Macaca mulatta: one gene and its partners. The protein of the gene in region 4 purifies or fractionates together with the protein of the main gene of each other region. This does not show direct contact. Links are inferred from orthologs where the notes say so. Each region holds a gene or a part of one and is shown on either strand. Other genes may lie near its edges.

What was found.
Region 1: the proteins of CNOT1 (region 4) and CAPZA1 purify together in Homo sapiens (affinity purification with mass spectrometry; 3 studies listed by BioGRID and IntAct, with this or other methods). This does not show direct contact. The link is inferred for Macaca mulatta from reciprocal best matches to the Homo sapiens genes CNOT1 and CAPZA1.
Region 2: the proteins of CNOT1 (region 4) and TNKS1BP1 purify together in Homo sapiens (affinity purification with mass spectrometry; 5 studies listed by BioGRID and IntAct, with this or other methods). This does not show direct contact. The link is inferred for Macaca mulatta from reciprocal best matches to the Homo sapiens genes CNOT1 and TNKS1BP1.
Region 3: the proteins of CNOT1 (region 4) and OBI1 purify together in Homo sapiens (affinity purification with mass spectrometry; 3 studies listed by BioGRID and IntAct, with this or other methods). This does not show direct contact. The link is inferred for Macaca mulatta from reciprocal best matches to the Homo sapiens genes CNOT1 and OBI1.
Region 5: the proteins of CNOT1 (region 4) and FHL2 purify together in Homo sapiens (affinity purification with mass spectrometry; 3 studies listed by BioGRID and IntAct, with this or other methods). This does not show direct contact. The link is inferred for Macaca mulatta from reciprocal best matches to the Homo sapiens genes CNOT1 and FHL2.
Region 6: the proteins of CNOT1 (region 4) and TOB1 purify together in Homo sapiens (co-immunoprecipitation; 3 studies listed by BioGRID and IntAct, counting the BioPlex papers as one, with this or other methods). This does not show direct contact. The link is inferred for Macaca mulatta from reciprocal best matches to the Homo sapiens genes CNOT1 and TOB1.
Region 7: the proteins of CNOT1 (region 4) and CNOT6 purify together in Homo sapiens (affinity purification with mass spectrometry; 5 studies listed by BioGRID and IntAct, with this or other methods). This does not show direct contact. The link is inferred for Macaca mulatta from reciprocal best matches to the Homo sapiens genes CNOT1 and CNOT6.

The regions. Positions count from the first base shown.
Region 1 is NC_133406.1:127,634,595-127,639,033, forward strand, and holds the start of CAPZA1 (F-actin-capping protein subunit alpha-1), read right to left. Parts: upstream 3,117-4,439; 5' UTR 2,907-3,116; coding exon of another isoform or gene 2,906-2,906; 5' UTR 2,722-2,905; coding exon 2,683-2,721; intron 2,657-2,682; exon of another isoform or gene 2,292-2,656; intron 1-2,291. Other genes in the region: ST7L (suppressor of tumorigenicity 7 protein-like), read left to right, coding at 3,447-3,651. UniProt on the Homo sapiens protein: F-actin-capping proteins bind in a Ca(2+)-independent manner to the fast growing ends of actin filaments (barbed end) thereby blocking the exchange of subunits at these ends.
Region 2 is NC_133419.1:16,081,415-16,085,741, reverse strand, and holds the start of TNKS1BP1 (182 kDa tankyrase-1-binding protein), read right to left. Parts: upstream 3,041-4,327; 5' UTR 2,928-3,040; intron 505-2,927; exon of another isoform or gene 330-504; intron 36-329; 5' UTR 1-35.
Region 3 is NC_133422.1:73,436,945-73,439,944, reverse strand, and holds part of OBI1 (ORC ubiquitin ligase 1), read left to right. Parts: intron 1-2,294; coding exon 2,295-3,000. UniProt on the Homo sapiens protein: E3 ubiquitin ligase essential for DNA replication origin activation during S phase.
Region 4 is NC_133425.1:54,153,670-54,157,520, reverse strand, and holds part of CNOT1 (CCR4-NOT transcription complex subunit 1), read left to right. Parts: intron 1-70; coding exon 71-367; intron 368-1,410; coding exon 1,411-1,551; intron 1,552-1,643; coding exon 1,644-1,748; intron 1,749-2,362; coding exon 2,363-2,482; intron 2,483-3,851.
Region 5 is NC_133418.1:13,500,598-13,505,083, reverse strand, and holds the start of FHL2 (four and a half LIM domains protein 2), read left to right. Parts: upstream 1-1,520; 5' UTR 1,521-1,817; coding exon 1,818-2,072; intron 2,073-4,196; coding exon 4,197-4,247; intron 4,248-4,486. UniProt on the Homo sapiens protein: May function as a molecular transmitter linking various signaling pathways to transcriptional regulation. Negatively regulates the transcriptional repressor E4F1 and may function in cell growth.
Region 6 is NC_133421.1:59,144,395-59,148,897, reverse strand, and holds the start of TOB1 (protein Tob1), read right to left. Parts: upstream 2,956-4,503; 5' UTR 2,659-2,955; intron 758-2,658; 5' UTR 620-757; coding exon 1-619. UniProt on the Homo sapiens protein: Anti-proliferative protein; the function is mediated by association with deadenylase subunits of the CCR4-NOT complex. Mediates CPEB3-accelerated mRNA deadenylation by binding to CPEB3 and recruiting CNOT7 which leads to target mRNA deadenylation and decay.
Region 7 is NC_133411.1:189,591,134-189,595,743, reverse strand, and holds the end of CNOT6 (CCR4-NOT transcription complex subunit 6), read right to left. Parts: intron 2,563-4,610; coding exon 2,350-2,562; 3' UTR 833-2,349; downstream 1-832. UniProt on the Homo sapiens protein: Poly(A) nuclease with 3'-5' RNase activity.

The DNA of each region.
Region 1 (4,439 bases), on a different chromosome or scaffold from region 4:
TATGTTTTACAAATGTTGAATGAAATAAAAAAAACAGACAATGAAAAGAACCCAAAGAAGTAATTCATCTCATATTTCAGGCTTCCTAATTATGGTATCTTTGTCTTGCTAAGCATGTAACTAAAGAGCTCAGGTTCATTCTCAGAAACTGTGAACTCAAAGCTACAACTAAAACGTTTATTTCTAAAAGTTACTACACTTTCAACTTCCTGTTTTATTTAGATAGCTCATCATGACCATTTCAGGTAACAAAACCCAACTTCCTTTTTACAAAGTGATTAAAAAAACTTCAGCAGTTATGAGAATAGATGATTTTACTAGCTTTTACATACATATTTATAAGGAAATTAGAGTCCATTCATTATCACCAAATTTTCTAAAGGTTTACTGCCTTTAGAAAATGTAACCAAGATAAAAAGCAATATTGAAATATATTTGGCAACAAAAAAACTATGCTAGAAGACGAAACTGGTCACAGATCTGCTATTAAAAAAACCAAGACTGGCCGGGCGCAGTGGCTCACGCCTGTTATCCCAGCACTTTGGGAAGCCAAGGCGGGCAGATCACGAGGTCAGGAGTTGGAGACCAGCCTGGCCAACATAGTGAAACCCTGTCTCTACTAACAATACAAAAAAATTAGCCAGGCGTGGTGACAGGCGCCTGTAATCCTAGCTACTCGAGAGGCTGAGGCAGGAGAATCGCTGGAACCAGAGAGGCAGAGGTTGCAGCGATCGCACCACTGCACATCACCCGGGGTGACAGAGCGAAACTCCAACTCAAAACAAAACAAAACAAAAAAAACCCAACACGTTAATGTTATTAAAACACTGCCAGTATTTAAAGACATCTTAATTGGCATTTTAAAAAATATACTTTCCCAAGTTTAATTAAAGGCATTCTAACCTGGTATCGAAGACAAAAATCCAACAACACTGGTCAATGTGTATCACGTAGGCACAATAAACTTAAAAGTTTATTATTTAAATTATTTGTGGAATTTTGACCGGGCGCGGTGGCTTACGCCTGTAAACCCAGCACTTAAGTGGCGGAGGCGGATGGACTTGAGCCCAAGAGTTTGAGACCTGCCTGGGCAACAAGACGAAATTCAGTCTCTACAAGAAATACAAAAATTAGCTTGACGTGTTGGCGGGTGCCTGTAATCCCAGCTACTTGGGAAGCTGAGGCAGGAGAATCATTTGAACTCGGGAGGCGGAAGTTGCAGTGAGCCCAGCGAGACTCCGTTTCAAAAAAAAAAAAAAAAAAATTTGTTTAGTTGTAACAGGATTTGTATTATAACAGGATTTTTGCTTAATTTTATTTGAATAGTAACTATTTGCCTTAGAACAATTTATTATAGATTGATTTCCAGCATAAGCTCATATATGTCTTTGTTTTTGTCCTAAATCTTATGTATGAAGATCAGTTTCCAAATAAGAGAAAATCTAATGCTGTTGTTCAATGGCTTGTTAAGCATTTCAAAATGGCATGCCATATGTAGGTATGATGTATCAAGTTATTCGGTGCAGAGGACTTATGGATCATAACAGTCCCCTCCCCATCCCAACTTCTTATTTAAAAAAACACCCTGGTAGATTTACAGAGCACTCAAGGGGACACATTTTCCAATAGCCACAGCAGGAGACAAATGTCATAATTCTTGTAAGTAAGTTGTCTCGTGAGGTCATTCTAAGTTCCACGTGCCCTAAAATCATGTACTTACTGAAAAGCCTGACAAAACTGTTATGAAACTGTGCAAATGTCAGAAGAAAAGTTATTCCACCTTAGAATGTGCTCTTGTATTTAAAACGCTTTTCAAGAAATAAGTATACAAACTGCACACTGACAAATTCAGCTAATCAAAGACTCCACAGTGGAGCACCAGAGAAGGCAGGACGCTTTGTCAAGTCTTGAACGTGTTAACATGCAGTTTATTATCTGTTACAGAAAATCTTTCTTGAGGTTAAGAAAATCCATCAGCTATTCTACATTTGTTAACAAGAAACAAAATTTTCAAAAATTATCGTTAAAAGGGTGTGTCTACAGGGAAAGTCTAGTGCTCAAATTGTGAAGCACATGCCCTGAGGCTCACAGATTTATTATAGCGAATCAGACAGGCGACAGTACTTGAGAAAAGTACTGCATGTGTAGTGAGGTGGACAACATTTGGGACCTCTCCTTGTCGAGGAGTCGTGACAGCAAAATCACTTCCTGAGGAAGGAGGAGCAAAAAGGAAGAGGCCATCCTGACCAGGAAGTGACTCGCCCTAAACTAACCCCAATTATATCTACAAATGGGGGGATGGGGGTTAGCACCAACTGCTAAAGGCGGTAAAATAACTGCTTTTTGATATGTAGCAACATAACCACCACCCACTCTCAAAATTACAGGAAAAAAGTCCACAGTCACGATCTAATAAAGGAAACGTCTGTTCCCTCGCAGGGAGGCCCCTGGGCTGTGCCTCAGGCCTGAGAGAAAAGGAGAGTCGAGGAACGAGGAACTGGGGCCACCGTGAGGCAGAGGAAAGCCCCGTAAGAGGGAAGCGTCCCGACTGCGGAGAGCGTATGTCAGCATTGACAAAGAAGCTTCTTTTTCCTGGGGACACTGCGAGGCTCCCAACGCAGCCGGGCCGAGCCCCAGTTCCCTGTCGGGGGAGGAGGTAAGAGAGAGAGGCGGACCCCTTACCTTCTCCTCATCCGACACACGATCATCGAAGTCGGCCATCTTGGGCTGTTCTGGCCCAGCCCGGGTGTGGGCGCTAGGCAGGCCGGGAAGAAAGCCGAGTGATGGAATCACCGCGGGGGCCGTCGGAAGGACCCGCCCGGAAACGCCGACCAAGAGGGCGCCATGTCAGTTATGCGCGGGAGTGACGTCTACTAGTGCCAGCGCCCGCGCCCGCGCCCCAGGAAGTAGGCTTTGCCTTCGGTGATTTAAAGTCTAATATCTTTCCCAATGAGTTACACTCATTTCCCATCCATCTAATGGGTGCTGGCAGCGTGTTTCGATTATTCTTGGCTCCTGGCCTCCATCCGACCAAGTCGCTCTTGCAGTTTTTCTGGTACCCGTTATCTCCACGACAGCCGAATCCAAAGCTCTAAGAGCTGCTCGGCCGCTGGAACGATCGGTGGCTTTTCCAACCCCGGGGGGCGGGGGTGTGAAAGGTGACCCTCATTTCGTTTGGAAGCGGTAATACTTCACTTTGGGGTCACATCTTAGTCCAGTTCCTCCAGAACAGGCGCTGCTGTCCGCCCCTTCCCTGCCCCACAAAGGAATAGGTATCCTCAATCTTGAGACACGCTCCTCCACCTTCGAAATCTTCTCGGTCCCGGTTCCCCAGGACTCAGCCTTCAGAGAGGCCAACTTCAGGTCCGCCACTATCCCAGGATTCCCGACTCCCGGTTTCCTGTCCTTCTCCCCTCCCAGCTCCTGGCTCCTGCGATAGCGGCAAGATGGCGGACGGTGGCGGCTCGGGTGAAGCCGCGGCTGCTAGAGCGTCTCCTGCACCTGTCCCCGGCCTAAACCCGACGTTGGGCTGGAGGGAGCGACTGCGAGCCGGGCTGGCGGGGACTGGGGTCTCGGTGTGGTTAGTGGCGGGGCTGGGGCTGCTTTACGCTCTGAGGATCCCTTTGAGGCTGTGTGAGAATTTGGCAGCGGGTGAGAGGACCAGACCTCCTGGGGCAGGGCGGGGGGCCAGGAGAGATGTCGGGGGCAAGAGCCAAAGGGCAAGAGATTCTCGGTAGTCCTAGAGGGCCTCTGAGGAGTCGATGATGAGCGATCAAGTGGGTTCTTTTTCTTTTGGACTGCAACCTTGCAGTTGATTGTCAAGCCTGCTGCCTCTACCGGCTCCTCCCTAGAACTCTTAAGGTCCGTCCTTTCTCTTATGTCCTCGTTTTTCCGTGGAAAAGCCACCTGACAAGCTATAAGCTTCAGGTATTAGGACAGAAGGGTGCATTCTCAGATTAGGATACGTAATTTATATTGGCTCCCCCGCCTCTGGTAGGATCCCATAAAGTCACTGCTTTGAGTGTCTCGCCGCCCAGCTGAGAGAACTCATATCCAGGCAACAAAGATGAGCACATCTGTAATTTAAAGATTTCAGAGAAAGAAAATGGCATGATTTTAATTGACGATTCTCTTGTTTTAAAATAGTTCTGTTAAGAAATAGTTGTCGTGATATTTTTGTCTGTTCTTTTAGGCTTATCTTGAGTAATGTAGTACAGGAAGTGAGAGAGCGCCACAAACAACTGTCGGTTTGCTAGTTCTTTCGACATCTGTAGAACACTTGCTATGTAGTCTGTGCTGAAAATACTAACACATGTAAGAAGTGATGATCCTGATGGATTCTCATATACTGTACTATTCTTTAGTTGTAGACGGGATAAAGTGTTTAGGGCCCAGATCCCCTTAGCATGTGATTATATTTCACTCAAGCTCTGAGCAGC
Region 2 (4,327 bases), on a different chromosome or scaffold from region 4:
GAGGCAGAGAGGTATGAGCCGGGGTGGCTGCAGACCTAGGAAAAGAGAGAGAAGAGAAGGAAAAAAAGAGTTGGGCGTTGCCAGTAGGTTTAGCAGAGAGAAGTCTCCTATTTCTAGCAGAGGCAGAGTGTGGGACAGGAAGAGAGAACTTGGGGCAGGGGGTGGGGGGGTGGGGAGGGTGGAGGAGGTCAAGGGAGGTTCCCAGCAGCCATATCCTCAACTCTTCCCAGATCCTCCCCATTCTTATCTTCTAACCCCAAAGTCCTAGCGCTTCAGGGAGTCACTCACTGCTCCCTCCTCTGACAAACTCTCCAAGACACCCCACTTACAGTCCCCAGAGTGCCCCCTGAGTAGGACGGCCCCGCTGGAGGTGTCTACTCAAAGCAGAGCCAGAGAGTTGCAAAGTATGAAGACTCTGTGAATCACCTCACGGGAGACGGGAAAAACCCGCTCCTCCCCAACCTGGGCTCCGCCTCATTGCCTGCCTCCCCCTTCCCGCTCACCCTCCTTCCCTCTCTCCCTCCCTCCCAAAGCTGGGAGTGGTTCCTTCTCCCCCCTCTCCCTGTTCTCCCTCCACATCCCTGCCCCACTCTCCCCTCCCTCAGAGCTGTCTCATCCAAACACGGAAAAATAAGGAATAAAAAGTAAACATCTGGAATATATTTTTTTCTTTAATTTCTCAATCGCTTGGCTTCAGCTTGGAATTTGATGAGGTAAAGCCAGGGCCTAGTCCTGTTGCCATAGCAATGGCCTCCCACTGGATTTCCAGAGCCTAGCCAAGAGGAAGGAGGAGCCGGCCCAGGCCTGGGCTGGGAGAACGGGACAGGGCTTGAGAATATCCGGGGGGTGGAGTGACTTGGGGGAAAATTCCCTGGGGCTCCACCTTCCAAGAGAGTCAGGGCGGAACAGCCACAGCCTATGAAAAGGGGCTATGTGGGCTTCACTCACCAGCCTTGGGTTGGCTTTAAGGAGTTCTGAGGGGAACAGAAGAAATTAAACCAAGTGGCACAGCCCTGTGGTAGAAGCCTGCCACAGGAGCTTCAGGGTCTGATATACCAAGATTCAAGGCTGGATGGGTCTACCACTTTCTAGCCGTGTGACTTCTCTAAGCCTCAGTGTCTCCAACTGAAAAATGGGATTATTGAGACCCTGAGGGGGCTTACGTGATATAGTACATGAAAACTGCTTAGCACAATGACTAGTACATAATAAGGATTCAATAAATGTTGCCTATGATTACTGTGATTCCATTCAGTGTCACCAATGAGCTAATATCCTGATAAGCACCTCCTCCTCTTCCGTGACCCCAGGCTACCAGCATTCCCAGACCATTCCTTCACTCTCCCAGGCCCTAGTCCTGTCACCTGTTCTTCAGATACTCCACCACCTCCTCAGTTCCCATCCTGGCTCCTGAAGCACTCTCCCACCCACAAAAACATGGAGACCCTGGGGAATAGGGCCCTGCACCTCTCATGCAAGGGGGAAGTTTCCCTCACCCGGTGTGCAGAGCCCTGAGGACAACCCAACCCTCTCCAACCTGCAAGGGGCATTGCCTCACTTAAAACCACCCACTCCAGCTGGTCTGGGAAGACAGCACCAAATTCCAGTGCTCAACCTCTGCAAAATCCAACTCCTCTCCCCTAACGCTAACCCTGCCCCAGGGATTTCAAAGATGGGAAAGGGTATGAAGACAGCAGAGAAACCCAGTACTGTCAACCCACTGGTCAGTCAACCACCACGGAAGACTGCCCACTGTGGGTGTGTGAATAACTATGCAGAGCCAGGCCAAGTGTGGTGGGGGGAGGGGCACATGATAGAAAAAATAAAATTAAAACACAAGATTGTTTCCTTGTCCTTGAACATTATTACTAGGGACATAGTGTGGGTGGTTGGACATGGAAATGAATTGGCTCAGAATCAAAAAAATCCTTTCACCTGAGGTTCTGATGGGCCCCTCTGCGGTATGAGGGGCTGCAGCAATGAAGGCGGGCTCAGAGTCCCCAGGTGCGGAGGTGGCCACAGCAACTCAGAGACCCCAGCCAGGAGCCCCAGGTGAGCAAGGCCACCAAGGCTGTGGCCAGAAGCTGCAAAATCGCAGCGGATCCGAGCACTCCCCACCCCCAAAAGACCAGGAGGTAGAGGGTAGCGGGGTAGAGACGAACTGACCCCTGGCAGATAAGGCCTCCAGAAGGGCTGGGCAGCTCCAGCCCCGGAGGGGACTCGGCGCAGGCGGGGTCGCCCCTATGGACCGCAAGATCTCCAGCCGGATCGAAGGCTAGAGAGGTCGGCAGGGACAGCACGCAAACTGGTGGAAAGAGGGAGGGCCAACGGGAAGATGGAACAGCCCCGGGCAATGGGCTGTCTGGAGGGGCCCAGTGGGGAGCTCTGGACACAGAAGGGACAGCGGCAGCCGAAGAGGAGGAGGAGAAGAGGATGGAGGAGGAGGAGGGGACGGCGGTGGCGGCAGAAGCGGAGGACCTGTGAGCGGGCTGTGAAGCAGCCGGCGAACAGACGGTGGGCTGCAGACGTCGATCAGGTGGGGGCGGACTGGGGTGGCTGGGGGCGTGCCGAAGGAGCCGGGGGAGGGGGCTAGCGCGGCCCAGGGGAAGGGGAGGCAGGGGTCCCTCCAGCGGCTCTGCCCGCCCCCGGCCCCGCCCCAAGCCCTCGCCCCCTCCCCCCTTTCTTCTGGCTCCGCCAGCACGAGCTCCAGACCATGCGCCCTCCGCCCCCGCGCACACGCGCCAGCTTCCCCCGGGCCTCCAGCGTCCCCAGCGCCCCCGGCCCCTGCAAACTTTCCTGGTGACCCCCTCACCGCCACCACCTCAACCCGAGGTCTCGGCTGGAAAGCGCCCACTCCTTCCATGCCCCTCCCCCGCCCCATCCCGGACCCCGCCCCCTCCTTCGCCCGCCCGCCCCCGCGCACTCACGCGCTCGCCCGGGATCCGGCTCCGCTCGGCTCGGCGCCCCGACGCCAGTCCCCGCCGCCGCCGCCGCTGCTACCGCCGCCGCCGCCGCCGTCACCGCGGGACGAAGCCACTGTGAGCCCCGGCGGGGCCCCGCCCCTAGCTCCGCCCAGGCCCACGCCCCCAGGGCGCTCATGAATATGCATGAGCCGGTGGAACCCGGGAGTTGGAAGCCCGTGCAGAATTCGTCCCACCGTCGGCAAACAGGCGCGGCCCAGTACTCAATTATTCATGAGGCTTGCAGATGAGGGGCCCGCCCCAGGCTCAGACCGGGGCGAAACTGACGCAATTCAGCCGGGGGCGCTCGGGTAAAATGGACACCGAGACGACTGCCTAGAGAGACTGCCTTGGCGGCCCCTCCCGGGCCCCGCCGCCTGCACGGAGTGCAGTACCATCGAGCTACGCCGGCAAGAAGGTAGCAGCCGGCGGACTGGAGCGGCTTCCTGGTACAGCCACCTGAGTGCTGAGAACGCGCGCAACGTGGCCACCCCTCCTGTGTCAATTCAGATTTAGAGCCACGGTGAGGAAGTCTGGCAGCTCTGCTTTCCTCAGTAGTGACCTTTATCTCCTTTCAGGCCCCGTCTCAGACGTGGGTTCCTCCCTACACTGAAGTTTGTATCCCCCCTTCTTCCCGTAAGAACAAAAGCTGCACATATACTCCGTACTTTTCTTGCACCCCCCCACCAGGCTGCAACCACCACCACCCTACACACACGCTCATCCTCCCCGACTCTCCAGGCTCACGTTTCCACTCCCCCGGCTGCGGGAAGGACAGTCAATCCTGATTTCATTATCTAAAGCCTTGGAAGACCCTTGACTCATAGGTAAGGATGGGGCCAAGAGCTGCCTCCCCCTAGCTTGGTTGGCTAATGGAGTGTAACCGGGAGAGACTTCCTAATCACATCAGCTCTCATTTCTAGATTCTCAGGTGGCCCAACCGGGCAGAGGCGGGTGAAAACCAATGCTTCTCCAGCCGGGAACAGAACAGGATGTGCCTCGAGACTTGCTTCCCGGCTGGCCAGGCTCTGCCTAGTCTGACCAGGGCAGTAACCACCACCAGTAAAAGTAGGAGCAACAAACCAGGGCTACAAAGAAAGCATAAAGACATGGTTTCCAAAGTCAGTTCCCTTTATTAAATCATTTTCACAGACCAGAAATACAAAATAAAAGTAGAAATAGGCCCCAGGTAGGAGCTACAGGCCTGGCCTCACATGACCCCTGCTCCAGCAACTTGAACAGGACCAGCAGCAGCTACATCCTTAATTAAGGTCGGGAAAGTAAGATGAGGATTTTGATCCTGCATTGCCCTGCCTCCCACCCTCTCTCTCCCCAAATTATAAACAGCCATCCTTGGGAAGCAACAG
Region 3 (3,000 bases), on a different chromosome or scaffold from region 4:
TATGTTTAGGGCTCTCATTGACTTCAACTCCAAACCATATGTTACATCTTTTAAAAACATAATTTCTAACAAAAAAAAAAAAAAAAAAAAAGAGGCAAGTACAGTATCTTAAGATGATACTATATTTGAAATTCCAAGCTAAAACCCTGAAACAAGAAGCTGGTAATATTTTGGGAAGCATTTTTTATTTTTGACTGGTCTTTCTGTGTGTAGGCCTCTGAATTCCCAGAGATATCCTTTGGTTGCAACTGACTTACTATTTAGTAGCATTATTTGATTTTTAAGTCATTTGATTTTTTTATCTGAGGAGATAACTTTATTATAAAAAAATTTTACTTGAAAAAATGTATCTTGGTAAGCAAATGTAAGGCTGTCACTTTTGCTTATTTGCATTAAATAAGCATGCTACACAGTTTTTCCATTTCAAAACATGGGTTATTTGATTATGCCAGAGTAGCTACAATCAGGAACTCACAAACGTTTGTACTTAATGTACTGAAAGGTCTTTCCTCACTTTTTAAAAGTTCTCTTACAGAACTGCAACTCTGTGAAGTACTATATTTATAAGCCAAAATTTTTAACAAAGAAGAAAAATTCCCATCATTCATTTAACCAAATACAGTAGTAAATTTTGTCTTTAAAATGGGAAGGCTTGTTATCATAGTTGCTTTTGTATTTGTTATACCTGTGGTTTTTGCTGTTTTTTTAGAAGTTGAAGGGAGTGTGCTCTCTCTGGGGGTTCAGTTAATTGCAGTTGAGTAGATCAATATTCAGCAATCATGTCTTTTAAAGCCCTTTCTGATCTTGAGATTTTATGATTCTATATTTACCTTTGCCTCTGCTTTTTCCTTCAGTGATAAGAGTGCAGGGATAATGTAGGGGTTGAGATGGGGAGTGAATTGGGCTAGTGGTTTAGGAGGTGATGGGCATTAAGTAGGAGTTGAAAACATGTTGTGGTTGATTCTAAGAGGGGCAATTGCTATTGGTGTCTGCTTTTTTGGTAGTTTTTTTTTTTTAATACTAAATACATGTTCTTAATTGTAATTATTTTTTAAATTAGGGGAAAAAAGGAAGAAAAAGATAAACCCAAAGATAAAAATAATTTTTGAAAGTCACCTTCTCATAGCTTCCTCCAAACAGACAATCCCTTAATTCTTAGAAATGGGCCAATATATAAATCATCAAAAAGATGATTGAGAATAGGTTTTGGAAAAGAACTCTGGAGGAGATAAGGTATTTTTCATGGGATTAGAACGTAAGGCTTATGTTATTTACTGGCTCATAAGAAGTTTCCTGAAAGATAGAATTTTTTTTGGTGATAAGATTGCATTTAAGGTAGATATTTTGTGTCCCATGGAGCTAGACAGTCTTTTTTATCTCTGGGTTCCCAGCCCCAAATATACCACCTAACCTATACTAGGTACTCAAAAATTGTTTCTTGAGCTTAACCCAGTACTCATTCTTGATGGAAATAAAAGCAAGATAATCCCGAGTAAAAGGAGTAGATGTTTTTATGAATAAAGGAATTCTTTTTCAGTCACTGTCCAAAATGTTCTCTTTCAGAAAGTGTACAATTTTTTTTTTTTTTTTTTTGCCTAGTATATTGGAATCACAAGCACTGACTTCGTATTTCAAAGTTGAAAGAAATGAGATTGATGTCCCACACAGTTGTAAAATGCCAAAAATAAGTAGTGCTGCCATGAATTAAAGGCCAGTGCTCTGAAAAGCTTCAGATCAAGGGTGGCTGTAATTGAAAGGGCCCAAATAAGTATTTAAAACCACCTCTCCTGGGAATGCTAAGATTTCTGAATATCAAATTGGCATTTTATGTTTGACAAGGTGACATTGTATAAGAAATGTGTTGTAAAACACAGCTGTATGATAGGAAAATGATTGAATGTAAATATTTCAAGATGCAGACCACTGTTCAAATGTTATCATAAATCTTTGCCATTGTTTTAGGGGATAACTCTTCATGCATATATGAGCTGAATTGATAGAGCCAGCTCTTCGAGAGGAAATCATCAGCACGTTTCTGCCTCTCTGCTACCACTAGTCTGATTCAACCACAAAAATATCTTATTAGGTTTTGCTATTATTATCATATGTTTATTATTATGTAAGTGGGGAAACCTTTTTTTGCAAATATACATCTGGCATTTGCCCTACTCATTGAGTGATCTGAAATGTCACTGTTAGATGAAATTAGAATAGCCTGGGACAGTTTGCACTCTCAAATCTTGAAAAGAAAAAAGCTTGAGTTATAAGATTAACTATCTTTCCATTCTTTGTAGGTTTGGAAGGTTTGCAGTTGCTGCTCTTCAGTCCAAAGTAGAACAGTATGAGCGTGAAACCAATCGCCTCAAGAAAGCCCTGGAACGAAGTGATAAGTATATAGAGGAACTAGAATCTCAAGTTGCACAGCTAAAAAATTCAAGTGAAGAGAAGGAAGCTATGAATTCCATTTGCCGGAGAGCACCTTCTGCAGATGGCAAAGGGAGCAAAGGCAGTGAGGAGGATGTGGCATCAAAGAATCAAGGTGATAGTGCCAGAAAGCAGCCTGGCTCATCCACCACCAGTTCTTCTCACCTAGCAAAGCCTTCCAGCAGCAGACTGTGTGACACCAGTTCTGCAAGGCAGGAAAGTACCAGCAAAGCAGAAATTAACTGTTCTAAGAACAAAGACCTATATCAAAAACAGGTAGAAATAATGTTAGATGTGACAGATACAAGTATGGATACTTATTTGGAAAGAGAATGGGGAAATAAACCAAGTGACTGTGTGCCCTACAAAGATGAAGAACTTTATGATCTTCCAGCTCCTTGTACTCCTTTGTCCCTTAGTTGCCTTCAGCTCAGTACTCCAGAAAATAGAGAGAGCTCTGTGGTCCAAGCAGGAGGTTCCAAAAAGCACTCAAACCATCTCAGAAAATTGGTGTTTGATGATTTTTGTGATTCTTCAAATGTTTCTAATAAAGATTCATCAGAAGATGATATAAGT
Region 4 (3,851 bases):
GTGTTTGCCAGTAGGAATTGGATTGTCTTATTTAAACAAGGTGTTGACTTTGTCCTCCCCAACCCCCCAGATTCCCTTGTTTCAGGCCCATCCGCAGTTGAAGCAGTGTGTGCGTCAGGCAATTGAACGGGCTGTCCAGGAGCTGGTCCATCCTGTGGTTGATCGATCAATTAAGATTGCCATGACTACTTGTGAGCAAATAGTCAGGAAGGATTTTGCTCTGGATTCGGAGGAATCTCGAATGCGAATAGCAGCTCATCACATGATGCGTAACTTGACAGCTGGAATGGCAATGATTACATGCAGGGAACCTTTGCTCATGAGCATATCTACCAACCTAAAAAACAGTTTTGCCTCAGCCCTTCGTGTAAGTTGGCTATTTCGTTGATATAGGTACAAAACATATTACTACTTGTCTGTAATAAGTTTTTTCTTTGCCTGTATATGGCACTGGGCATTACCACTTATTGTTAATAATCACTATATTTGTTTGATAACTTCCATCATTTTGGATTGTAATTCTGTGAGGCAAAGCATCATGGCTGTGCTTTTTTTTTTCTTTTTTTGCTGTTGTATCCTCAACACAATGTTTGACAGATAGTAGATACCCATATATTTATTGGTTTAAATAAATTAAGATTTAAAAAGGAAATGTGAAATCTAACAATACTCATTTCTGTTAATCAGGAAGGATGAAAGCTGTTTGAGAAGGCTGATACAAAATGACTTAAAGTGATGTTGCATGTGCACACACTTTTCAGATAATTCACTTACTAGTTTTGAGTCTCAGATATCATGGTTATTCAGGTATCATGATTAGTAATTTGTTTACTGCTTACTGATTTTTTTTGGGGTTTTTGCCTTTTTTTTTTAATGTTTGTTTCATGAGACAGGGTCTCACTCTGTAGCTTAGGCTAGAATGCAGTGGTGCAGTCTTGGCTCACTGCATCCTCCACCTCTGAGGTTCAACTGATTCTCATGCTTCAGCCTCCCAAGTAACTGGGATTACAGACATGTGCTACCACGCCCAGCTAATTTATGTATTTTTTTAGTAGAGAAGTGCTTTCACCATGTTGGCTAGGCTGGTCTCGAACTCCTGGCCTCAAGTGGTCTACCTGCCTCGGCCTCCCAAAGTACTGGGATTACAGGTGTGAGCCACCATGTCTGGCCTGCTTTACTGATTTTAAGACATGTTCACCATAAACTGATAAGGTGTCTAGGATATTTTTGTCTTAAAAGTGAGAAAGCTGTTAAGACTATTTCAAGATCACAGCTGATTGATTCATAAGTAGAGTCAGAACTTAAAATGCATTTGCCAAATGCACTGCATTTTCTACTATCCTGTCTGTCCACATTAACTTTCAAGTCTTTTTTTTTCTATTCCCCCCACTCCCCCACCTCCATTAATAGACTGCTTCCCCACAACAAAGGGAAATGATGGATCAGGCAGCTGCTCAGTTAGCTCAGGACAATTGTGAGTTGGCTTGCTGTTTTATTCAGAAGACTGCAGTAGAAAAAGCAGGCCCTGAGATGGACAAGAGATTAGCAACTGTAAGTGTTTAGAATTTGCCTTTTAAGATTTTATTTCTTAATTTAGGGAAGTGCCTTATAACAAGAACCTCAGTGACTTTTTTTGTTTGCAGGAATTTGAGCTGAGAAAACATGCTAGGCAAGAAGGACGCAGATACTGTGATCCTGTTGTTTTAACATATCAAGCCGAACGGATGCCAGAGCAAATCAGGCTGAAAGTGAGAATTGGGGCCGTGTCTCTCCCCATTCTGTCTTTGTTTTATTTTTAATGTTCTTGTTGATTGAACTCCTTACTGGGACTAGGACAGCAGGGTTAAATGTTGTTTATGAGAAAACATCTTAACTTGTTAGCATTTCACTTAATGGCTGCCTGTGGAGCAGGTATGGAAATAGCTCTAAATTCCCTTGCTCCTCCAAAGTTGTTGAAATGCTACTACTGTAAGGAGTTCATGTGCCTTAACTAGTTTTCATGTTTCCCACCTTGGGCTTCTCACATTAATGGTTGCTTATTGTTCCCAGTGAGACAGTGATAAATCTGATAATACTTACCAACTCCAAGGGAGAATTGCACTGGCATCGTCCCATGTGAGGCACTTTCCAAGAGAAACTTTCAGTTAATTTATAAATGAGGTGACTCTTAGCAGGATTCAGGGAAATGAGAAGCCCTCTTCTGAACTGCATTTGTTAGTGTGCATGTATGCTTAATCATACTGTCACATGTTGTAATGACTCTTGTGTCCCTGAGCTTACTCACATGCAGACTTTCCACTTTCAGAACAGTTTATTTTGATTATTGAGTGAATTCTGTCAAAATAGATTTTCTTCTTTCAAGGTTGGTGGTGTGGATCCAAAGCAGTTGGCTGTTTACGAAGAGTTTGCACGCAATGTTCCTGGCTTCTTGCCTACAAATGACTTAAGTCAGCCCACAGGATTTTTAGCCCAGCCCATGAAGGTAAATGTGTTTTAGATTAAATTGAGTGTTTTGCCAATTAATTTAAATGTTTTTGACATTTAATATATGTTTTTGACTTGCTTCCTGGGAGAATAATTTACAGGGGAACCTATAGTTTTTGAGTTGTAGGTATTCTTTGTGTCCAATTAAGTATGACATACAGGGGATTAAAGAAAAAATTGACGTGGGTGTGGGTGATTTATCTTTAAGGTTTGGCCTAATTAGAGGAATTTGCATGGTAACATAATAACTTTTGGGTTTTTATATTTAAATTTTATTATTTATTTTTTTGAGACAAGGTCTTTCTCTGTCACCCAGGCTGGAGTGCAGTGGCGCAATCTCAGCTCATTGCAACCTCCACCTCCCAGGCTCAAGCGATCCTCCCACCTCAGCCTCTTGAGGAGCTAGGACTACAGGCGTGCACCACCTTGCTGAGCTAATTTTTGTATTTTTTATAAAGATGGGGTTTTGCCATGTTACACAGGCTAGACTCAAATTCCTGACCTCAAGTGATTGCCCATCTCAGCCTCGTAAAGTGCTAAGATTACAGGCCTGAGCCATTATGCCCAGACTTCCCATTTTTTAAATAAAAGAATTTTCTAAAATTTTCAAAGGTGTTTACAGAAAACTTGGAAATATAGGGAAAAACATTTTCCAGCTGAACCAGTTGAGAGTAAGTTGCTGACCTGATAGCCCTATCACTCCTGAATCCTTTGGTTTGTATTTCTTATAAAAAAACCTTTTTCCTATGTGACCACAGCACAACCATTAAGGTCAGAAATGAATACTAATACCTTACTCCATGTAATTCATAGACCTCATTCAAGTTTCACCAAGTATCCCAATAATGTTTAGTAAAAGACCTGTTTTAGAATCACACATTTCTTCAGTTGTCATATTTTTAAAGTCTCCCTCAGTTCTAGCTGGTATAGGTAACTCAGTTTTTCCTTATCTTTCATGACCATAACACTTCTGAAGATTATAGGCTAATTATTTTCTTTTTTTCTTTTCTTTTTTTTTTTTTGAGACGGAGTCTTGCTCTGTCGCCCAGGCTGGGGTGCAGTGGCCGTATCTCAGCTCACTGCAAGCTCCGCCTCCCAGGTTTACGCCATTCTCCTACCTCAGCCTCCCGAGTAGCTGGGACTACAGGCGCCCGCCAACCCGCCCGGCTAGTTTTTTTTGCTTTTTTTGCTTTTTTTTTTTTTTTTGAGACGGAGTCTCGCTCTGCCGCCCAGGCTGGAGTACAGTGGCCGGATCTCGGCTCACTGCAAGCTCCGCCTCCCGGGTTCACGCCATTCTCCTGCCTCAGCCTCCCGAGTAGCTGGGACTACAGGCGCCCGCCACCTTGCCCGGCTAGTTTTTTGTATTT
Region 5 (4,486 bases), on a different chromosome or scaffold from region 4:
TGATCCTATCAAATTACCACAGGGTCATTTAAAATGTTCTGCTACCCATTAGGTCAAAAATGAAACACAAAATTAAATCGCAGAATTTCTTAATAATAAAACAACATCGCTGAAACTATGTGGCACAGCTAAAGCAGTTATTAGAAGAAAAATAACAGAACTAAATAACTCTATCAGTAAAAAAAGCAAAGTTAAATGGATTACACCCATAAGTCAGAAAGCTTAAAAAAATCAAAATGTAAGACAAGAGGAAATCAGAAAGAAGATAAATGCAGAATTAATGTTTCATCATTTTAGGACTTGTTTTTACAAACTGCAGCTTAAGGCTCACCATTTGAGAACTAGGAGACCATTTCCTAATATGTAACAATAGCGACAACACAGCTAGGTAGCTGTCAGGGGCTGGGAGCCTTTTCTACACAAACTTTGCTCTGAATTTCAAAATACTAGCCTGCCTTGACACTTAGTGGAAATTCAGGGAGGGTGGCCTTAACTCAGGTTCTTCAGGGAAGTGTCCCGTTTCAGGGACACCGTGGGGTGGGGTTAGGGGACGGCTGTATTCCGCACATCTAGTTCTGGCTGGGCTTATGGCAAGTCTCAGTCCTCTGGAGTCACCTGAGTGACTGAGGGATGAGAGGCATTTCTGATCCCGTAATATACTTACATGGTTTTGCCATCTACCGGACTCCAGTTCAAATCTCAGCTGGCACAGTTACCTTTCACGTGGCCTTGAGCAAATCTCTCTGAGCTGAACTTTCCTCACCATAAATCTGGTAAAAATCTTTACCTTAAGGAAGTGTGGATCAAATGAGATACCAGGTGGAGCTAGTGCTCATAGAGTGGAAGCTAAGGTGATGAAACCCTTGATTCTCAAGTTCTGTGATTCCATGATGGAGATCCATGAGGGCTACCAGATGGGGAGTATCAACTAAAAGAAAGCAATCACGGAGTTCTTCCTGCCTTCTCTGGAGGATGTATTCCTATGAGCTGCCCTGAATGTTAAAAATAATACACCTGCCCCCAAAGTGCCTAGGACGCCTTTGTTGTCCACCTGCTCATCGTCCATCGGTTTCTGCAAGTGGACCAGTTACCTGCTCAGGAGCAAACGTTTCTATCACGATGCACCCTCTCCCAGGGATGGGCTCAGCCTGTGCTCTCCCTGCGACAATGTTGAACAGTGCCATCTGTCCCTACCCAGCGTCAGTCTCACTCAGAGGGCACAGGCTTGGAGTGTGGGAGGCACGCTCCCAGCTCACTTTGCTTTTCCCGCCCTGGAGGGGAATCCAGGATGTCTAACTAGTCTTCTGGCCCCGAGAGGGAGAGGTAGGGATAGGACCTTCCTTTAGTCCCCTCCCTAGTGGAACGAACGATTCTTTACGGTCATCTGTGGGGTTCTTTTCGTAAAGAAGCATCTGCAGGGTAAGAAGGAAAAAAATCCACCGTGCAAATACATCCCAGGCACATGCCTCCTGAGAAGTGGCCCCCTCCTCCCTCCGCCGTCCCCGGCACCTCCTCGGGCTTCGCCAGCTTCCTGCTCCTGGGAGCAGGCAGAGATCCCGGCGTGGGCAGACCCCTGCCACTGGCGTCCAGGCCCCGTCCGAAACTCACGCCCACGTCGGAGGAGACTCTCGGGATAACCAAGGTGCTCCCAAGACCCGGAGGGCAAGAAGAAAGAGCCCTGGCAAACAAAGGGCATGGGCCGGGAGCGCCGCAGCCCGGGGCGGGGGCACGGCGACCGCTAGGCCAGGGGGCGCCCGCCCCCAGCGCCCCACGCCCGGTGCCAGCGAGCCGAGGCGTGCATCTCCTTATATGGTCAAATGACACGGAGGGGGTTCTCGAGGGCGGGAGCCGCGCAGCGCTCCACTCGGCCGGCAGCGGAGCAGCAGCCACCAGCCGCCCGCGCCCGCCCGCGCCGTCCGGGAGTCCCCGGGCCGCTGCGGCGCCGTGAGTACCTCCAGCTCCCTGCGCCCCGGAGGGAGGCCGAGGGGCTTAGCCACCAGGACTCGGAAGAGGGGGCCGAATCCGGTGCGAGACCCGGGGAGAGGGGAGCAGATCCGGAGTTGGGGAGACCGGTGAGTGGAGAGGAGAGCTGTGGGTCGGAGAAGAACCCTGGGAGAGGGGAGCCGAACCGTGCGGAGAGAAGCCGGGAGAAAGGAAATGAGCTGTAGGGTAGACCCGGGAGAGGGGAGCAGATCCCTGGGGGCTGGGAGTGGGGAGACCACGGGAAGAGGGGAGCGGAGCAATGAGAGGGGGCTAGACCCTGGGGGCGCTGGAGCTCAGAGGAGCCCACGGACCCATCCCCAGAGGGGGGATTACAGCCCAAGTCCTCACCAGGTGGGGCACCGCCATGCGGGCAGGGGCTTGGCTAGCCTGGGTAAAGGCTGGCCGCGGGTCCCAGCCGGCGGCTGCGGGGAGGTGACGCTGTCCCCTTGCTTCAAGGCCCGACTCCGGAGCCGGTTGTCCTGGCACGGTGGTCTGCGCGGGGGTGTCCGGGCTATTTCCCTTCAGTAGAAATAAGTGGAGCTTGCAGTGTGACCTCACTCCTTGACTCGTGTAGACATTTAATAACTGAACCATTCGGTTAAAAAAAAAAGGCGTATTTTAAATGAAAAAGATTCTAAGTTTTTCTTAAGTTGCACTCGTGTGATATCTTAGCATACTAGAAATTGAGGGAAGAAAATACTGTTTTTCAGATTTTAAATGAATCAATCATATTTACTTTCATATCCCCAGTCAGGTTTTAATTGGAAGTAGGCTAACCCCGTTAGCTGAAATGTGTAGCTGGCCTCCAAGCAGCAGTGAACTTAGACAGCACTGAACTTAAGGCCCGCACTCCCTTCCACATATTTTGGAAGGTAATAAATCACAATTTGGGCTTAGAATCAGGAGAACTGTCTTCAAAACACAACTCCAAATACATCTCACATTTTTGGTGCTGACTCTACTAACGAATGTTTTATAATAATATATTAAAGAAAAGAGGTTTTGCACTATCCTGAAGATGTTTTAGACCAAAAAAAAAAAAAAAAAAATTTGCAGCAAGTCTTAGAAGTACAGGAATTCCTAGTCTATCAATTTAATTTTAATAAAATCAAACTCAAAGAACATTTCATTGTGCATTTATATAAAATTTTTTCAAGTGTTACTGGATTTAGATCACCCTCCAATTTAGAAGATCATCAATTGATACATAGAATTGTGTTTTCATGGTGTTTATTAGCCTGCCATGGTTTAAAATGCGTTTACACCATCATATGTCGATGAAGGCTAATGATGGGCTTACTAAAGACCAGAAACTGTTCTGGGCACATAGATTCTGTCTCATTTTAGCTCACGGTCTCACAAATAACCACAGGCAGATGCGGTAGGCTAGAGGATGCGGGGGACTGCATCTAGGCTGCCTGAATTTACATCCGGGTCCCTCAACCTGTGCAGCCTGGGCCAAATCACTTCATGTCGTGGTGTCTCGGTTTCCTTCACTGGGAAACAGTGACAATGATGTTGTCTCTTTGGCAGGGTTGTTAAAAAGTCTGGACATCATAGACAGTGTGTACCTATTTGACAGCCTCATTTTTACAGGTAAAGACACTGAAAACAGAGATCAAAGTAACTTTAACTCAGGGTTTCCCAGGCTGTAAATGGTAGCCCTGAGATCTGACCCCAGGCAGCTTAACTTGAGAACCTGAGTTCTAACCCTAAACACACCACGGGAGGAACATTTGAATATTTATTTATTTTTTAACATTTGAATATTTCTATGAGGCCTTATGCTGCATTCTTTGACCCAAGATTGCGTGTTAAGCCACTTCCAGTACTGAAAGATATTTAAATTGCAGTCAAAAACACCCAGTAGAATATTGCACACACACACACACAAATCAGACTAGATATCAGTTTACTCCCGTCCTGTGCTGAGGGCCAGTTATTCAGCCTCTGTGACTCAGGCAGCTTCCTTTGTCAGCACCGGGGCCTGAGTTGGTAAAGTTGGTAAGCGGCTCTCTGACTCAGATGCCCCGAGGTAAAAAGTTCCTTGAGCCTGGGTGAATGGAAATGTCAGACGTTGGGTTCTTCTGTGCGGTTTTATTATGAGAATTTGATCAAAGCCACATTTATTAAGTGTCCATCTCAGGTTGCGTCATACTGAAGTCGCTTCCTCAAGATGACCATCTGAAACAAAATGCATGTGCTTTCTCTAGGGGCTGAGAACTGTGTCTTCCTGGAGACTAGGCTGGCATTTTGACTTTGGGGTGAGTCAAATGAATTTCCTCTGTCATCCTAAATTGTGGATTTCAGTTTTAGCTCCCGTGATGATTACTTTCATGTGTCAACTTGACTGGGCCATGTGGTGCCCAAACATTCGGTCATATGTTCTGGGTGTGTCTGCGAGGGTGTTTTTGGATAGGATTGCATATGAATGGGTAGACCGAGTCAAGCTGGCTGCTCTCCATAATGTGAGTGGGCCTCCTCCAAACAGTTGAAGGCCTGA
Region 6 (4,503 bases), on a different chromosome or scaffold from region 4:
TAGGAGAAGTACGTGCAACCTTGTTGCTACGGCCGCTATTCTTCATTTTGGTAGAGCCGAACTTGGTGGCAGCAAAAGTGGCAGTGGTAAAGGTTAAAGGCTGAGTGGACCGGGGCATGAAGGTAGGGCTTACAGCAGCAGAGTGACCAAAAGGAGGCGATGGAGAGCTGGACACTGATGAGGCTGGGTCACTTATGGGCATGAAAACCTGGGCCTCTGGGTTAAAGCTGTTTTTGATCTCCTTATCCAACTCACATCCATTTTCATTATTATCATCCACGTAAAGCACCTTCACTGGTCCCTTTTCACCAATTTGGTAAGAAACCTCAAATGGGTCGATCCAAACACTAAGATCCTGTGGCAGATTGCCACGAACATCATCAATGTCCAAACCACTCTCTTTGGATGCTTGTTCAATCACTGGGTCCACTTTCTCCCCTATGTGTATACATCTAAACCCCGATCCTTTGTATGGCTTTTCAGGATACCAGTGCCCTTCATATTTCTTCTTAAGAAGTCTTTCAAGTTCTTCACCAAAAATGTTGACACGTCTCCTGGGAAGCTTATTGTACAAATATGAAATAATAAAATTTAGTGCTACTTGGATTTCAAGCTGCATAGCTGCTACGCCACAAAATTAGGTTTCAACTCCCCCACCAAAAAAAAAAAAAAAATGTTCAGTTTGTGGCAGAGAAACAAATTTTCATTCAAAGTGCTGGTATTAGTAGATTATCCTTCACCTTGAGTGATCTTGTTCCTTAAAACAAAACAAAAGCAAACATATCCAAATAAGATAAAGGTAATATAAGTCCCACGACCTTTCCCCCCACAAAGTAATTTCACCTTAAAAAATGTCTAATATCCAGTGTTAGTTTGCTAAGGATAAAGAGAAGAAGAAAATGTCTACTAGGACAGAAAGCCTGAAAACTGTAAATAGTACAAAATATAAAATAGAAAATTGTTGATTAAAGTTTAAAATCACACAGGAAAATGTAGATTTACAGATGAAATAATGTTTTTAAAAGCCTGTTTCTGAATAGAGTTCTAAGAAGAAATATCACTAGAACATGTATTCTTCTCCCCTCAATTCTCACAAGAATATTTATTGTACTCAGCATCCTCCCCCCATCCCCATATATATAGATGCCACTTTTAGGTAGTAATTTTTATTGTTATTCACCAACTTAGAAGTGAATCCACGTTTTAGTTTACTTTGGACATATACTATTTAAATCTGCTCTGTCATTGACATTTAAAAATCTGGTAAGTTAGGAAAATCATTTTAATTTCCATAGTACATGATGCTAAAATTAAAGACACTGAGTACTAAATGAATTTCATCCTAGTGAATAATTATGAACCAAATTATTCTATATAGTTTCGGCCTTAAGTATATAAAGAGCACAATATAACAAAATCCAGCTTCTCTGGGTCTTTTGTTTTCAATGTGTATTTTTCTAAATCTGAAAATTCCTATTAGGTAGCAAGTATAACAAAAGCAACGACACAAATTAAAACTATTGATTATTCTGTTTAAAGGCCAGGGTTTCTGAGTTTTAGTCTGATTTTTAAAAACCTCCGTCCGTCCTCCCTCCCTCCCTCCCTCCCACGGTAACAGCCGGAGAAGCAAGTATGGTAAGGTCGACCTTTAAACGTTTGCTGGATCAGCACTGGGTGGGGATAAGAAAAGATCAAGGGCAAACAGAAGATATTTGCGAAAGGGATCTATTTGCACACTGAAGTTGATTTAAAAGGACGTTTAAAAATCAAGTTGGTTTTAATTCGTCTGTTCTATTTTCCATATTCGTGGTAACAAAGGGAAAAAGAATCCCTGGCTGCCCCCAAACTAAAAACACTTTCCAAGTCAAAAGCCTGAGTGCCGGCAGAGGCAGCTGATTAAGCCCAATTGCTTGAAGGTGCAGCCAAGCAAAATTCAGGCTCGGTGGAAGGTAGTTACAAAGCAACGCCTTAAGACAGGCAGGAGTGTGAAGAATTACATAAACAGCCAGTTAGATCTCATTAGATTTCTGCTCACAGCCCTCGGAGCCCAAGCGCTACAGCAGCAGCAACAGCAAGAGGAGGTGGAGGTGGAGGAGGAAGAGAGTACGAGCCTCCTAGGAGGAGGAGGAGGAGGAGGAGGAAGGCCCGGGAAATGGAAGAGCAACCTCTCCCGGCTGGGCACCCAGCACCGAGCAGGTCGGGGCGCCGGGTCAGCCGCTCCCCTCCCCCGCCGTAACCCGACCCGCCGCTCCCCGCCCCCCGGCACCCGCCCCGGGCTCCTGGGACCCGGTCAGAGCCTGGGGGAGCACCGGTTCCCCGGCACCATTTTCAGCCTCGCGGCCACCGGCCCCTCGAACCCCAGCGTTCCACCGCGAGCTCGTCGCTCCCCTGGGCGCCCCAACCCCCCGATTCCCGTCAGCACGCCCCGGGCCGCCCGTCCCCGGTCAACTGCCCGAGCCGAGTCCGACGCGTCGGTGGCCCCTCGGAGCCGCTCCCCTCGGGTCCCGGCGCTGCCCCCTCGGCGCCCAGGGCCGCGACCCCGCCGTCCCCGAGCTCCCGAGGGCCCGGAGCTCGACGCCGCTGCAGCCCCTCCTCCGCCGCCTGGGCCCGGGGCTCCTGTCTCCTTGCCAACCCCGCCCGGCGCCCCGAGATACTTACGGGCTGCTTCGGGGCGGCTTGGACCACAGACCCGCGGCTGGGCGGGGAGCAGCGCGACAGGGCGGGGGCGCGGGAGGGTCGGGAGCGGCGAGCTCGCCGAGTGCAAGACGTCGCCGCTGCGGGGCTGAGGGCAGAGGACGGAGGCCTCGGGCGGGCCTTGGGAACTCGCCGATGGTGGCTCGGGGTGGCGGGCACGGGGGTCAGACGAGCGCGCTCACTTCTCCACACAGCCCGGTGCCCGGCCCAGCGTCCCCGTAGTGCGCCCGCTCCACGCCGGGCCAGAGCTTCGCTCCTTCTGCCGCGGCGCGCGCCCCGCCTCTCGTTTTATGGCCTCCTCCCCGCCCCCATCCCCCTCCGTCGAGGTGCGCGCGCCCGCCAAGCGTCACACAGCTCCCGCGGCGCAGCCATTCCCCGCGCTCCCCGCCCCGCACCCCGGTCCCCCGCCGGCCGGCTCCGCCCCTGCCCTGCCCCCCGACGCCATTGGCCAAGTCCCGCCTGCCCCTGTCCGGACGCGCGGTGGACGCAGGGGTGGGGAAGCCGCACCCTCCGGGCTCCAGGAGGGCCAATGAACCGACAATCGGAGCACTGGGGACGGAATGAAGAGAACGTTTGGAAAGGGACTGTGGGGGGAGACGTGCCAAAGAGAGAAAGGGGTGGGGTAGGGCGGCTGACGCCCGGTTTAGGCGGAGAGCGCCGGGCAGAGGGGGAGGAGGGCGAAGCCGGTGGCGAAGCGGCCAAGGAGAACCGGGGCTGGAGGAGCCCAGGACTCCGGGAGGGCGGCAAGGGTACCCAGAAAATGCCCTTTCCGCGTGGGGCTGCAGCCAAGGAGGATCCCGCTCGTGGAATAGCTACTAAATCAGCCTCCAGCCCACCCCAGGGCGGGGTAGAGAAAGGGCAAACTGTGACCGGGATTCGTGCACCCGATTAATTGAATATTAATCACCCTAAGGCCTAGGCCAACCGCCACCCAGACAGTGGCAGCTGCAGAACCCAAAGCCGTGGAGCCGGGCTGGGGGTGGGGAAGGGAGGCCGCCACAGCTCCCGCCCCGCCGGCAGTTTAACTGCTTCCGCAGCCTCAGGCCTCCCGGTGAGACCCTGGCTGCGACTCGGATCCGTTTATTCCAAATGTCCCAGCCCACGCCGTGCCCAGGGTGTGGCGACACGAGGCCAAATTGCGTATGTATCTGTGTCCATGTCTACACACACACGCATGTGTGCATTTCTAGGGCTTGCTGGAACGCAGGTGCACAGAATAAACGCGGTGCCTGCCTGTAGAGTGCGTTTAAAATCATTCTCTGCTGAAATATGTGCGGGTACCTAGGGAGTGGGGTAAGAGAGGGACTCGTGGCGGGGGGCGGGTAAGTGCCTTTTTCACAACCTGCCCCAGAGAAATACACGAAATTACATCGAGAGTGGAATCGAGCGTCCCTCTCAGCTAAAAATACTACTCACAGGTAGCAACGACGCCTGATTGGCCGCGCTGGTCCCTTCGCAACCAAGCGATTGGCTGCCTGGTATCCAGGAGACCGACGTCAAACTCCGACTGGGAAAAGGGGAAAGTTGGCGGGGAACGAAGGAGGGGATGGGGAGAAAGAAGCAATGAATGAAACGCCCATCGCCTGGCCTTCCCCTTTCCCCTTTCCCCTTTCCTCTCCATTCTTGGAGCACTTCCTGGGAAAACACCCGTTGGGGCGCCGCCTTCCCCTCCAAACGGGGCCTGCACTCTCAACCTGCTATAAGGAAGTTAAACCGCAGCTCACCGAGGAGTAGAGTGTCTACGGTGCGGGCCCGTGTAGACCAGCTGTGCTCCTCGGGCACAAACCCGCTGTACATGTCAGGCCTAGA
Region 7 (4,610 bases), on a different chromosome or scaffold from region 4:
AAGAGGCAAAACAAGTATTTTCAAGACATAACAGGCCATTATATCTTAATATGCTGCCCCAAATTCAAATATATTGTAGACAGTAACAAATACAGATGAATACATTTTGTGTAAAGCTCAAACCTTTAGCATCTAACAAGGGCACTCTAGTTCCAGCATCTATGAAAAGATGACGTCCTCCGTTAACAAACACAAAATGAGTAAGTGCTCCTCCTCTCCCGCTTCCGTAAAGCTCTCTGGACCTGTGATTACATAATGCAGATCGTAGGAAAAGCTGCTTCCTCAGCCTCATTAGTCCAACCAGCTCCAGCTCACCTTCACTGGAAATTGTCATGATGCACATCACCAACACAGTTTCAGGAAAAATGAGTAAACATACCTTTTATTCACACTCTACAAAAAACCAATAACAAAACCCCATACAAAGTTATGCACTGGTTCTACATCAATACGAGCTTTCCAATGTTCTGATTATAAACTGGATGTGTTTGGTGTCAGCACAACTTAAACAAAAAGCAAAAAACAAAACCAAAACATCACAATGAAATCCTAGAAAAAACAAAAAACAAAAAACCCTCAAAGGAAAAAAACAGGTCCAAGACAAAGATTCAACATCAAAACCTTTTGGAGAATTTTCTAAAAGGAAAAAAAAAAAATCAATCATTTCCCAAACAACTCATTCTCTATATAAAAATTGTTAGTAACAGTCAATATTTTTTTTTCCTAATGCTCACATGGCGTCCTTTTGCTCCCCTGCCTGCAGTTGAAACAAAAGCAGTTTGACCAAACTCCTTCGGAATTCATTTGACTTTTGAGAGAAGAATTAATAAATGAGAACAGACCATGTACACGTTCACTTTGCAAAGTTAAAGCTGGTTTTCATCTCTATTCTACTAATGGCACTACGGGCAAAATAGAGCGTGTGATGTAACTTTTATCTTGGTTGACACACTAAAATGACTTAGTCATTTAAAAAATGATCTGAAGAATTGTCTTAGGGACCTGTTTTGAAAATACATCTAATTCATACTGCTTTATAAATGCAAAATTACTTCTTCTTAAAAAAGGATTAAAAAAAAATAACAAAAAGACTAAGGAATACACGGACAACAAAAAGAATTCACATGATAGTAGTATTCCGGGTGACAAGCAGCACACTGCAATGACACCGAGAAGCAGTGCTTGGATCTGGTGAGCAAAGATCCAGGGACTCACCCTATAACATGTTCCAAAATGTGATATTCAATGCTTCACAATGGGAAAAAGCCACAGCTCATACAAAAGCATTTTCATAAAATTCTCACAAATGTTAAACAGTATTTTAAAAATATAAAAGAGGATGCACAGATTTTCTCTGCATGCACAGGCAGTGCTTGGTGAGAACAAATTTAGGCAGGCACAGTGGAGATTGGACAGGAAGTGTCTCAAAAAAGAGTTAAGAAGCTGTACCTAAGCAGCTGTAGTTTTTTAACTTAAAAAAGTTAGATTTAAAAATATCAGAATGTACATATATCAACCATTACATTCAGTCCATAAATGTCTATAGATCATCACTGTTCAGCTTATCTGTCCTGGTAGATAGTTTTCATAAAAATTCATGAATAAGTTGCCTCTGGTCTGAAAACATCCTAAGGTTTAAGCAGATTTGTATGTAAAGAACCATGTTCTCAATTTAAAAATAAAGTAGTACAAAAGGGCTAACAAAACCCTAAGAGTGCAAACCACGAGCAGAGAAAGTCTGTTGCAGCTTCTTTTACAAGCTGGCCTTTGTAACACATGAAACAGGTTCTTTTTCTTTAAAAAAAATTTAGCCTTAGTTTACAATACAATCATTTCCAAATGATTTTTTTTTTAGTACAAAATTTCATAAATCAGGTCTTCTGTGGATCATATACAATCATAAAGGCTAAATTCAGATTCTATATTTTACAAACAAGTCTGAAAAAGGAGGGAGTAAAGTATGGAAGAATGGTCTCTGGATGTTACTACTGGCCTCAAAAAAGTAGTGCTACAGATTTCTGTGCAAAGAGAATATGCTGTTCAAACATTTTCCTATTTCAAGGCATGAAAATATTATATTGGATAGAAGAAATAGGAAAATTTCTTATAACAAATTAAAGATAGGTGCAAACACACCAATCCCTGTCTAGCAGTATAAAGCATATTGGGCTCAGAATTTGTCTGTTGTTAGCACCTGGCTTTCATACTATATCCTTATCAAATAATCAGATTGCAAATCCAAATCATTCTTAAGCAAACAAAAATCCTCAGTGGCCATACCTCACTCCCCTATGTTCAGATTTTCACAAGTTTACAAGTGAATCAAGGCTGTCCTCTGAAGGTGCTTGACTACCTCCTGCCAGGAAGGTGGATGCCGTTGACTTGGGGCAGGAAAGGCAGTAAGAGCTCCAGTTGTGCAAAAAGTGAGAAGTGGTCAGAGGGAATGAGGGGGTGCGGGCAGCCACTGATGTTATTCTCAACCAGCCAGTGGTGGTCCAGAGGGCCCAGGATGCCTAAGGTGTTCAGCTGAGGTTTAGAATAGAAAATGTAGTCGATTATACCCTGAAAAACAACAGAAAAAAAGATAAGCACCACATAAGACAACCCTAAAATCCTGAGTGCTTTCAAGACACGTCTTTACTGTCATGTTTGGTGAACAGAACAAAACAAGTGAAACTTACTAGCTTATAGGATGAGGTGTGTACTACATATACCAAATGGTCCCCTTGCAAAATGTCAAATCGAGCAGAATGAAGCATTCTTCTTATCTGGAACTTTAATAAGACCTAAAAGACCCTTCAGGATGCAGCCTCTGCTTCTCTTTCCTAGACTAATTTGTGCCACTTTCCCTGCTGCCGCACTAGCCTTTGGAGTTAGAAAGGGGTGAGGATGGGAGGGGAACCTATAGGTACCAAGTTCTTTCCTGCCCCAGGACACACACACACCCCGGACATGTGCTCCACCCAGCTCTTTCCTGCCCCAGGACAGACACACACACACTCTCTCTCTCTCTCCCCCGCCACCATTCTGCCTGGAACACTTTCTTCTACTTGTTATGAGGTCAATTCCTTCTTAATCTTTCAATGTCAAGTTCAACTGCTTTCCAAAGACCTTCCTGAATCCTGCTCCTACCTACTTAGCCACCCTACCTCCCACCACTGATTCACTTCCCTTGCTAATGGCCATCTCAAGGTGTAATTATCTATTCATCTGTGTGGTTGAGACTTGTCTCTCATCACACCTCAGTTCCACGAGAGCAGGACTGTCTCTACCTGACCCCCTTTTCTCTCAGCAGCACCCCGCCATGGCATCTAATAAACTGTTCCCATCTGATGGTTCTGCTCCTCTCCTCGACATGCTCTTGGCCAAATGTCCTGAAGGACAGTCAAGTATCTTCTTCCTGCCTCTGTATCAGCAACAGAAAGAGAAAGAAAACCCTAAGCTTTCCCACCCTCTGGTTATACCCATGCCTTCTCTTCAATGTCTCCTGAAGAATCTGAAAGGAAGGGGCACTTGAGGATCAACAGGGGTTTACTTTCTGTGCTCTAAGGTGCAAGAGCTCCTGAGATACTGTCTAAACTCTTATTTACACTCTGACAATCTAATCTAAATGACTACTTTTCCAGCAGCTTAGAAACAGAAAGCTGGGAGTTGAGAAAGCAGAAATGCAACAAGTAGTTTAAAAGGCAGCTGAGTCAGATGCGGTAGCTCCCGTCTATAATCCCAGCACTTTGGGAGGCTAAGGCAGGAGGACTGCTTGAGGCCAGGGGTTCAAGATCAGGCTGGGCAATATAGCAAGACCCCGTCTTTACAAAAAATTACCCCAAAAAATGATTTGGGTATGGTGGCGCACACCTGTAGTCCTAGTTAGTGGGGAAGCTGAGGCAAGAGGGTTGCCTGAGCCCAGGAGTTCGAGGCTGCAGTGTGTTATAATCACATTACTGTACTTCAGCCTAGGCAACAGAGTGAGACATCTCTTTTTAGAAGAAGGACAGCTGAACACAAGAAAGTGACAGCCCTAAACAATCGCTAATGTTAAAAGTGATGATAGGCCGGGCGCAGTGGCTCAAGCCTGTAATCCCAGCACTTTGGGAGGCCGAGACGGGCGGATCACAAGGTCAGGAGATCGAGACCATCCTGGCTAACACGGTGAAACCCCGTCTCTACTAAAAATACAAAAAACTAGCCGGGCGAGGTGGCGGCGCCTGTAGTCCCAGCTACTCGGGAGGCTGAGGCAGGAGAATGGCGTGAACCCGGGAGGCGGAGCTTGCAGTGAGCTGAGACCCGGCCACTGCACCCCAGCCTGGGCGACAGAGCGAGACTCCGTCTCAAAAAAAAAAAAAAAAAAAAAAAAAAAAAAAGTGATGATAGTCTGACCAGGGGCGATGGCTCACGCCTGTAATCCCAGCACTTTGGGAGACTAAGATGGGTGGATCGCATGAGGCCAGGAGTTCGAGACCAGCCTGGCCAACATGGTGAAACTCCGTCTCTACTAAAAATACAAAAATTAGCCAGGTGTGGTGGCAGGCGCCTGTAATCTCAGCTACTTGGGAGGCTGAGGTATAATAATCACTTGAACCTGGGTGGAGGTTGCACTGAGCTGAGATCGT